Linked DNA regions of Coturnix japonica. The protein of the gene in region 2 binds, or shares a complex with, the protein of the main gene of each other region. Links are inferred from orthologs where the notes say so. Each region holds a gene or a part of one and is shown on either strand. Other genes may lie near its edges.

Region 1 (4,720 bases), on a different chromosome or scaffold from region 2:
AATCCTTGTTACTGTTACTACAGCTTATATTCACAGTATCACAGAAGCCAACACTTGCACATTAAATACTGCACAATCTTAGCTTTAACATTTAAAACACAAAGTCTCTCTGATGTAAGCAAGTAGGAAAAGGAAAACAAGTAAGAAAGCAGCGATGTAAGAATACCCAAGCAGTGCATTGTTGCCCTGCAGGAACAGAACTCCTTCCAGCTTAATCTTCATTAGGAGTATTTCTGCACAATTTCCTCTAAACAATACATCCAAAGTCCGTGCAATAAAACCTGTGCCGGATCATTACAGGCACACGTGACCATATTTACACACTGATTTTATTCTTCTCAAGATGTAGTCAACACTATTTTATTACTGAAGAGTTTCAACCAACCAGCATGCCAGCACCAAGAGGATAGGCACTCCATGTAGTACTGATCCAGCCAACTGAGCCCTCATCCCAGTTAAATAAACCTAGAACTGAAACAGAGTAGCTGAACTCAAGCTCTGAGCCAAAACCACTCCTGACCCAAACCAAGGATGGGAAAACAGTGTTCAAAGCAGTATCTCACCCCAAAGCATTGGAGTGCTTGCGCTTGCCCTGAAAGCAACAGAACCTGCTAACCCTGAAGGGGTGATGGTGATTAGAGCAGTTATAAACTGCAGTCACATTGCTGGTCAAGAAAGCCTGGGTGAGGGTGAGATGCTCTGAGCAGATGGGGCAGGAGGCCTCACCTGCTGCTGGGAGCACTGCCCCAGTGACCCGACTCAGCAGAAAGCAGGGCAGTGCCAAGGCTGTGGTTTGCGGGGGTGATCAAATTCCTTTCATTGCAAGATGATTCATCTCAGCCCCTATGTGTTTTACAGGCACAGAAAATAAAAAAATAAATAATCCCAGTCTGGTTCTCAAACACCTGGTAAAGAAACACAGCTAAAATCTAACCCACTGGACTCTGGCAAAAGGTGCGGCCTCTGTTACTCCCATTTCCACTCCGTCTTATCAGTTATTTGCAGAGCTCTGCTGTGCACACCATAGTGCTCTTCCCTTACCTCTGACCTCTCAGGAGCAAAGGAGGAAGGCTGTGTCCTGGAGCAGGGCACACAACAGGTAGAGGCATTTTCAGTAGAGACATGCTCCATCTTCTACTTTAGTCTTCCACAGAGACTTCCAGCTTCTCAGCCTGGGAGCCCTCAGGTCTGAGCATTTCATTGTAGGTCATGCAGCCACTCCCATGGCATTTCTAAAGCTCTGAGCAGACAACCCAGACACTCTCTTTTCCATTACCTATTTCCTTGTGCCTCATGTCTATTGCGTGCCTCAGGGGACCAAGCAGAAGGTGATGACCATGCAGGAATCCCTGCACTGGCGGACAGAAACCACAGGCCTCTGAGCAAATCTATCTGCAAGCAGCAAGGCAACCACATTTACTGGATGCTGCAGAAGGCTTTTAATGACCTCTCTCTTCTCCTTAGGCCTGGATAGAAAATAGCACAGACACCTTTCACAAACCCAGTAAGCCAGGGAAGAAAAAAGACTGCTGCACAGAGCACCCTCTGTTACATCTGTCACATTGAGAAGCATAAATCCAGGACACATTAGACCAGAAATACATGTCCGGCCAGAAAGACTCATCATTCTTGCCTTCAAACACACCGATGTAAATTTTAGTTCCCAGTTGTAGCCCACTGACTCCACATACTATATTCCTACTTGCAAATGAAACACCATTTGTGCACGACTGGATCATACGCTGCTTTAAACTGCAATGTCTGCAAATATAAAAAGAACCAAGGCTGGCCGCTCAAGAGAGCTCCACACAAAGCAAAGGCAGATGACAGCCTGCTGGAATAGGACAGCAGGGAAACAAATGGGAAGGAAGCTTAATTAGTAGATGTGCATGGGTGATATAGAAAGAATTATTTTTACAGCAGCAGTATCATTTTAATTTAGGCATCGCTGCAAAGAATACAACTGGCTTGCATAAATGCCTGATGTACGTGCCAAATGCTGAAGCATAAATCCTCCAAGCACTGCAACAAGAGCTGCTCTATCTGCCCTCCTCAGCCCATTGGTTTCCTCTGTACCTCCATCATTCTGCACTTTTGCATAAATCTGACGCCTTCAGCACATCCACAGCATGGTTTGTAAAGCACAACATTCTTGAGTGATTAGAGGAAAGATACAGAAAAGCTGCAAAGGCTCAAACATTTTCACATGGTCCATTTGCTAAGCATACTACCCAGAGACTCTAGAGAGTGAATCACGATTACTGCAAAGACAGTGAGTCCAGAAAAGTGATACTCTGTAATGAGTGAGTATATGAGAGAGAAGATCCAAAACTAAAGAGGATCACAGCAACAGCCAGCGACAACCTGCATGAAACAAATACTCCCTTTTCTTTACATTTAATATCTAGAAACCTCACAAATTGTATCCTTACTTGTCTGTTAGGAGGCATTCCTTACAGCATTCATTATTTCATACATTTCTGTCCTTTCTCCTACAGAATCAACTTCCAAGTCTCCATCCATTAGGATCTTCTCCAGTGAAAGCTACTCCATTACCATTGCCCATTCCCATACGTATTGTTCACTGCATGACAAACAAACATCACACTTTACCCCCCACACACACTACGTGTAACACTGCCTCCAACAACCAGATTTGTTTATTTGTGGTTTTCTCTTCTTCTCCCATCTATTTTTATCTGCTGCCCTTCACATCCTTCCAAGTTAAACTCCTAGAGGTGAGGTTCATTGCCTCTGCTAGGTGATACACAGTTGTGTCACTGAGGGGGGGTGGAACAGGCAAGTTTTAGAGCACGTTCTTCTTCAAATCACTGACAGTAAGTTCTGCACAACACTAAAAATATCTTTTACAGACCTGTGTTTATTTTAGCAGTCAAGGGCACTGAGACTATTGGGAAAGTCAATATTCGGAAAAGACGAGAGTTCATTGACAAACACCAGGCAGGTGTCAGCACCTGCACTCACCTCAACCAACACTTCCAGCCAGGTTTCTAGATCTGTGACGAGTATCATATGCCTTGCTACATGGAAACACCACCTGCCAACTCCTTCCCAAGCACGCCAAGTATGTCTTTAGGGCCTCCTGTTTGCCAGGAGCTTCTATTGATCTTTCTCCAGGGCTTCAGGTCATGCCAACAGGTACTGACGCTTTGCACTGTACTGATGAGCAGAAGAAGCAGGAGGGAAGCAGAACCTTTTACTCTGCAGGCACCAGTTCTGCACTCAGAGCTGTGCAAACAGAGAACTTGATAATACTGATAATGGTGAGGTGGCTGTGGGATGGTGGTATTGCAACACTTACGGGCATGAAAGATTGCAGCAACACGTGTCCCTGGGGAAAGAAATCATTTTCTCTGTCCAATCCCGGCTTTCACTTTCTGATCTGTTGAGACAGCAACCCTTCCGGCCAAGTTTCACTGCTGCACCCATATGTCAGAGAGCAGAAAGCAGTCTGTATTCTAAAAATCCTTTGTTCTGCACGTCACAAGGCAGCAGCTGGGCAGTAATGCAGCCATTCTCAGCAGGACACAACGCTTGTCTGATGAGCTCCCCTGAAACCAGCCTGGAAATCTGCAGCACAGCAAACAACGGCAACAACCCCCCCTGCTGAGACACAGTACCATTTGCAGGAGTACCTTCCATTCCAGTCTCCAAGCATTTAACACTGGCGGCAAGCACAACCCCCTCACGCTAAACAGGAAAAACTGAGCTAAGGAGAGCTTTTATCTAAAAGTTCTTCAGTTGTGAGCCTGAATAAGGTTTATTCTTAGTCTGTAACTCAATAATCCTTAATTCCTGATGAGCAACTCAACACAACAACCCTTCCTGGAGGACAGGCAGAGGAATTTTAAGCACGAGTACCCTGACAAAAGCGCCCTTTCATCGGCACCGGGTCTACAACAGGAGGGCAGGGTAAGGCTGACAGCACTGCCTGCTGTAACCATGCCAGCAAGCGTTCGGGCTGCGAGCTCAGCAAAGGAATAAGAATACACACTCACTTTACGAAATTACAGTCATCAAACAGCAGACAGACCTGCTAATAAGTAGCACCATTGTGAGCACCACTCCCTCGGGACTATGGTGAGTGCTTTGAGAACTGGCGTTTGTTTAGTGCATGCACCAGGGAGAAGAGGCCTGAGATCAGCTTCCCCGAAATCACCTCCCATATTTACTGACCTTAAAGGGCACAGTATGAACTCCGGTTATTTACATAAGCGTTACACCAGGGAAATGGATACAGAGAGCTGTGTCGAGAGGTAACCAGAAAGGTAGCATATATGTGTGTGTATATATTGGGATGTGCGGTATGGAGATTGCACTGCCATCTGTAAACTCATTACTGCACTGATTTTACATGCAGATTTGAACGGCAGGCACATCCTTCCCAACACACAAAATTAGACTAACACACGAGGAGGTGTATTCTGACTAAACCACTGCAAAGAAAACAACACAGCTGCGTTTGTGAGGATAGAGACACACGTCAAAATTCAGCCTGCGATGAAAGCACTGTGACTCGGTGCAGGTGCACTGCCGTCATTGAGAGCACAGATGTGCACAGCAGGCAAACTGTGCACTGCAGGAGCTCCGGGCATCTCACAGAACCTGCCCCAGGCCTGATCATCACTGCGAGATGGTTTCTCAATTACGGGGCATCGCTGACTAGCTCCAAAGCCCACAGTCTTCCTTGGGTTGTCCA
Region 2 (4,956 bases):
TATGATGCCAATACAGAGCCATCTTCCCTTGCTGCAACAAAATTAGCTGCTTTCTATTTAAAATATATATATATAAATCAAACTCCATTTCTTTTACCATGTTATTTATGACTCCCAAATGGGTTCTAGCTTTCAGAAAGAAATGTGGTACAGAAGCTGTTTTCAAGTAAGGTGCGTTTTGTTGTTTTCTCCTTGAGACATCTTTTCAAGTGCGAGCCCCAAACTCATTACCCACAAGCAGGATGGATGGAGCAAATAACTACACTTCATTCCAGCAAACCCTGCATGTTCATTCAGATGTAAAAAAGCCTGTTTGACTGTGACCAGAATCTCAAGGTAACTAATGAGAAAATAAAGCGAGTTACTGGAATTCAGTTGTAATGCCCATTAAATTCCAGGTAGGAGTTCAACAATTAAAATCCAGGGCAGTGCTTGGATAATGCAGTCTCTGCACTGCCTGCCCCTCGTGTGCTGGCAGCAACCTTTGCAGAACACTCTCGTAGCGTGACGGCCACCTGGTGGAGCTGAATTATTGGTAGCAGCAGAGCAACCCATCTGTACCTTGCTGGAAAGGACAGAACATCTTGTTCCAGATGAACAGAGTCACGGGTATCTCATAAGTAAATCATATAATCACTGAAGTCAGCTGGGATCAGAGGTGTTTAAAGGGGAAAAAAAAGGTGTTTCCAAACATTTTAAGGGTTGCACCTTAAAGGTACTGAGACAATTCCTGAAGATGCTGCCCCCCAGATAGTCTGAACTGGAATGATCTGAGTCTTACCAGCTAAAGGCAGTAAAGCCTGCTGCCAGAGCTATCACAGGTTCAGTGTTTATTGTTGTTATTACTGTTATTTTGGCAGCTAACTGCTGAGCCTGGGCAGACTGAGCAGTGCCTGAGCTCTGGCACATGAGGCAGCACAAAGGAGAGCTCAGAACCAGGTGGATTTGTGGATCTGAGGGGCAATGTGATCTCAGCAGAACATGATGGCACAGCACCTTACAAAGTGCACAGCTTTAATGTGCAGTGCAATAGAGGCACTTTGACATGAGCCAATTAAGTGCCATACTCTGCATAATATAGTTTGGTACCTTTGGTAAGCAGGATTGTATCCACTATGTGCCAACTGCTGCTAGGCCAGGAGTTGATTGTCAGTGGGTATCAGGGCCAATGGGGCTCTGGAGACTTCCACATCCCACACCTTGCAGCCCAGGCTGAGTTCATAGGGACATGTTTCATGCTAGAATGAATCCTAAGATCATATTTGCTGTGCTGGGATTCCAGGAGTTTCTTCTCAACGCGGCCTCCGCTTCAATGGAAAAAAGTAAATGCAGCCAGAATAGTTTCCCATCTAATTTTAGAGAACATTCGTCAGAATAAGCTCTATTATGTTTTATTTGGATATGGAATAAACTTCCAGAAAACTAATATGGCAAAGGGAGGTGGCTTGTCAAACTTATCTCCACTGAGTTACTCTGTTTTCATTTCAGGCTTCCCAGCCGTTGCAAGCAGCAGCGTTTTGCCATCCAAAGGGCCTGGAAAAGCACAGCAGACACTGACAGCAGCGCAGCTGGGCCCATGGGGCTGCCCCATCAGCTCACTCCTCCATGGAGCACAAACAGCTTCCTCAGCCAACAGGAATGCAGGCAGGATCCAGCTGCATCGGTATTAAGGAACTAAAAGCATGCACGGAAGAGCTTGTATTGCAAAAGAATGCGGCTTCACGTCATCCAAAGCCGTGATTTAAAACTGAAGTATTTCGTAGAGGATCTTGAACAACTAATGCTGGACCTTTATTTCACTGGCATCACCTATTGAAACTTCCACCATCCCACCAGTAACTGCTGAATGCTAATTAGGACGGAGCACAGCTGTGTCCCACATTGTGTTTAAAAGCTGTTTGGAGCAGCAGGTGCTTCCCTGGGTGGGGTGAGTCACCCCAGGCTCTGGACTCACACTTCTCATTTCATGGCCTCACATACAGACTTGGTCTTCCAAGCAGTGATTTAATTTACAAGGGAGAGGACAATGCAGAACTGCAGAACCCTTGCAATTTCTCATCTTTTTCCAAAGAGATTTAAGTACTGATTGCTCTTCTAGCTTGCTTTGGATTGAATGCACACAGGAGCCCAGCTCAGTGTTCTCCTATGGCCGAGTGCTCCCCGTCCTGCCAGCTGGTGGGTACCACATCGCTCCCATTCTGTGCCTTGAGAGCCACCTGGTGGAACACAACATAAGAAATACTCCTCCAAACTACAGCGAACTCCTCGTGCGGGCTGTGAGGAGCCTCGCAATCAGCCTGGAAGCAGCAGGGTGCAGGTTTTACAGACTTCCAGCAGAGAATCCTCCGAGCAGCTGCCCTGTATGTATCAAACAGCTCTGCCCACTGCAAGTGCCTATACAAGGAAATCCAGGAGCACGGTGGTGAAAGCAGCAATGACAAAGGTACGTTATTTGTTTCATGTTATAGATTCTGAGGTACAGCTGGGTCTGAATGGCATCTCAGGTCCAAACTGACCATCCATCTTACCACACATCCAGTGATCCGTCACAGCTCTAAACAGCCATAAGAGCAAAACCACCGCGATCCGAACAGCTTCTCCCCGGACCCTCCCTCATGTTGGCGCTACCGAACGCTTCAAGTTTCCTCTACCGGATTTTCCTCGCAATCTCAGGCCGTACAAATGGAAGCCGCGTCCCTGCTCCTGCCTTCCCTCCCTCCCTCCTGCCGCTGTGGGGCCGTTACCGGCGCACAGAACGTAACATCAGCCGACCCACATCTCCCACCACCGGTTACATCGTTACGGGGCAGCCCCACGGCACGACCCGCCGCCCACTCACGCCTGACGAGCTCCTCGGCCGCGAAGCCGCCATCACAGCTGCTGAGCAGCGCGTAAGGCCCCGCCGCCGCCATGGCGCCCGCCGCACTACGCGCCCCTTCCGCCCGCCGCTACCACAGAGCGGGGCGGGAGGGACGGAGAGCGGAGAGGAGAGTGGGGAGTGACGGCTGAGAGCTGCTAAGGGGACAGGGGACACGGTGAGAGGAGAGAGGATCGGCAACGGGGCAGGGAGCGGGAGCAGCGCTTGGCACCGACAGAACGACCGGCCGCACCGCCCGCTTCTCCCCGCCTTCCCCCCGCGGTGAGGCGGGTGGTGCGGCCCGGTCCGAGCGTCGTGTTGCCATGGGGGCGGGATGAGGGGATGGACGGCACTGAGGGACACGGACAGCGGGTAATAGCCGGGCTGAGGGTGGGTGCTGAGATGTTACGGGTGGGTGCTGGGCTGTGGGTGGGTGCTGGGCTGTTACAAGTGGGTGCTGAGATGTGGGTGGGTGCTGGGCTGTGGGTGGTTTCCTTAACTCTGGACAAATCCAGGTTGAGCCCAACAGAAGCACTACTTCTCAGTCAAGGGAAGATGGAGTTTAACTTAGTGTGTCCTTCATACGTTTATAATTGATTCCTCTTTTTTTTCTCCTCTGGCAGAAACACGCTGAGAGCTGTTCAAGTGCTCCAAACAGAGAATTATTAACTATTTCTGCTGCTGGCAGTGAAGAAGTACGTTCCAAACAGCCCCTTGAATGGTGAGTGAAACAGAGAGACTGCAGCACGAGGATCTTGTGAGGCAAATGGGGAACGTTGGTCCCAATTGGGTTATTTGGGGTTCTGTATAGGTTAAAAGCAATACAAAGGTAAATGTTGTCCTAAGCAGCTGCAGCAACCTGCTGTTAGCACTTGCGATTTTTGGCTTCACATGGGTTTAAACAAGAATGCAGTTTTTTACCATGCAACCAGATGGGAGCGATGTGCATTTAATAGGTGATACCATGGTAAGTTTTGCAAACCTCACTGCTTGTTTCTTTCTGACTCAGGGGGCTTCAATGTGGTGCCTCTGAGAAGCAGCTGGTTCTACCACCGGTGCCTGTTGAGCCCACGACTGCCCAGCCATGCAGCAGAGCAGCACTGCGCCTTTCTCCAGGTTCACAGGTCTGAAATAACACATCACTTGTTTTCCCAGAGACCGCATTAAATGGGTGGACTGGCATCTTGTTGGTACTGGTTGACACCATGAATTTATGTCCTGGCTCTGTGAGTTCAGTGTTTGTTGATACACCATCTGGTGAATGAGTGTGTTACTCACTGAGTAGAATGAGGGAGCTGAGGGGCAGGAGCCTTCTCCCTGCTTCTGGGTAACATCAAGGCTAGGAAGGACTTCAGTATCATTGTGATCCATTTGTTTCCCATGTATAATGATAAAGAATCCTGAAACCAGATGTTTATTCTGTTGTAAGGTCCCAGGTCAACAAATACCGAATGCATAGCTGCTATTCTGCAAGCGATGCCTTTGAAATAACGGGGACTGTATAGTGGAATAGCATGAGTTGGTGTTGTGTGAGAATAAAACTGGTTCTCTGGTTTGGCTTTGTGTAAGAGAGACACGGGGCTGTAGGAATGGCATTCAGTTACTAGGATTGACATGGAATTGCATGGCCAGAATGAGCAGCCTGCCACTCCTGTTGTGATTTTCTTTGTAAAAGAAGCCTCCCTGTGAAGTAATAATTCAATATTACCTGCTTTTGAAGTGATGGAAAGGTGCAGTGAGAGCTGATTTTTATTTAACTTTATCTGGTAGAACTATGGCGATGAGGTTCTGTGACTGTGGTGAAAAAGTCAGGAATCTTTATATATTCATTTAATATCTCTGTATAAGGTGCTGCTGTTACTGCTTTGAAATATTTTCATTTGTGACTGACAAAGAACGTGGACTTTGGTGTTTGTTGACTGACGTACTCCTGGCTTTCTCAGTTCTGAATGGAGAAGAATGGTGCCTGGAGGTGATTTGAAAGCAGAATGCAGTTTGCCAGAGAGAATCCCAACTCCATCCCATGTGAGCACGCTTCTGTTTGAAACAAATCAACAGAGTTCAGCCACTCTGTACAGCCCCCATTATCAATGGTTTTC

The links. Proteins that work in one complex are often made in the same cells at the same time.
Region 1: the proteins of AAGAB (region 2) and AP1S3 are in contact, whole or in part, in a crystal structure (PDB 9DDT), measured with the Homo sapiens proteins. The link is inferred for Coturnix japonica from reciprocal best matches to the Homo sapiens genes AAGAB and AP1S3. Residues at the interface, in NP_078942.3 of Homo sapiens: Asn51, Lys52, Tyr53, Tyr54, Glu108, Val109, Met110, Ile111, Gln128, Ile132, Gly135, Phe136, Glu137, Asp151, Phe153, Pro154, Glu155, Arg161, Gln164, Ala165, Asn167, Ala168, Asn169, Val170, Met176; in NP_001034658.1 of Homo sapiens: Arg10, Gln11, Lys13, Arg15, Gln37, Leu40, Ser41, Arg61, Tyr62, Ala63, Ser64, His85, Val88, Asp92, Phe95, Val98, Glu100, Leu101, Asp102, Ile104, Phe105, Asn106.

Annotation. Positions count from the first base shown.
Region 1 is NC_029524.1:6,846,200-6,850,919, forward strand, and holds the start of AP1S3 (AP-1 complex subunit sigma-3), read right to left. Parts: upstream 3,226-4,720; 5' UTR 3,034-3,225; coding exon 2,986-3,033; intron 1-2,985. UniProt on the Homo sapiens protein: Subunit of clathrin-associated adaptor protein complex 1 that plays a role in protein sorting in the late-Golgi/trans-Golgi network (TGN) and/or endosomes.
Region 2 is NC_029525.1:17,111,007-17,115,962, forward strand, and holds the start of AAGAB (alpha- and gamma-adaptin-binding protein p34), read right to left. Parts: upstream 2,948-4,956; 5' UTR 2,913-2,947; coding exon 2,840-2,912; intron 2,640-2,839; exon of another isoform or gene 2,536-2,639; coding exon of another isoform or gene 2,529-2,535; intron 2,444-2,528; coding exon of another isoform or gene 2,363-2,443; exon of another isoform or gene 1-2,362. Other genes in the region: IQCH (IQ domain-containing protein H), read left to right, coding at 2,363-2,443, 3,481-3,578, 3,867-3,981. UniProt on the Homo sapiens protein: May be involved in endocytic recycling of growth factor receptors such as EGFR.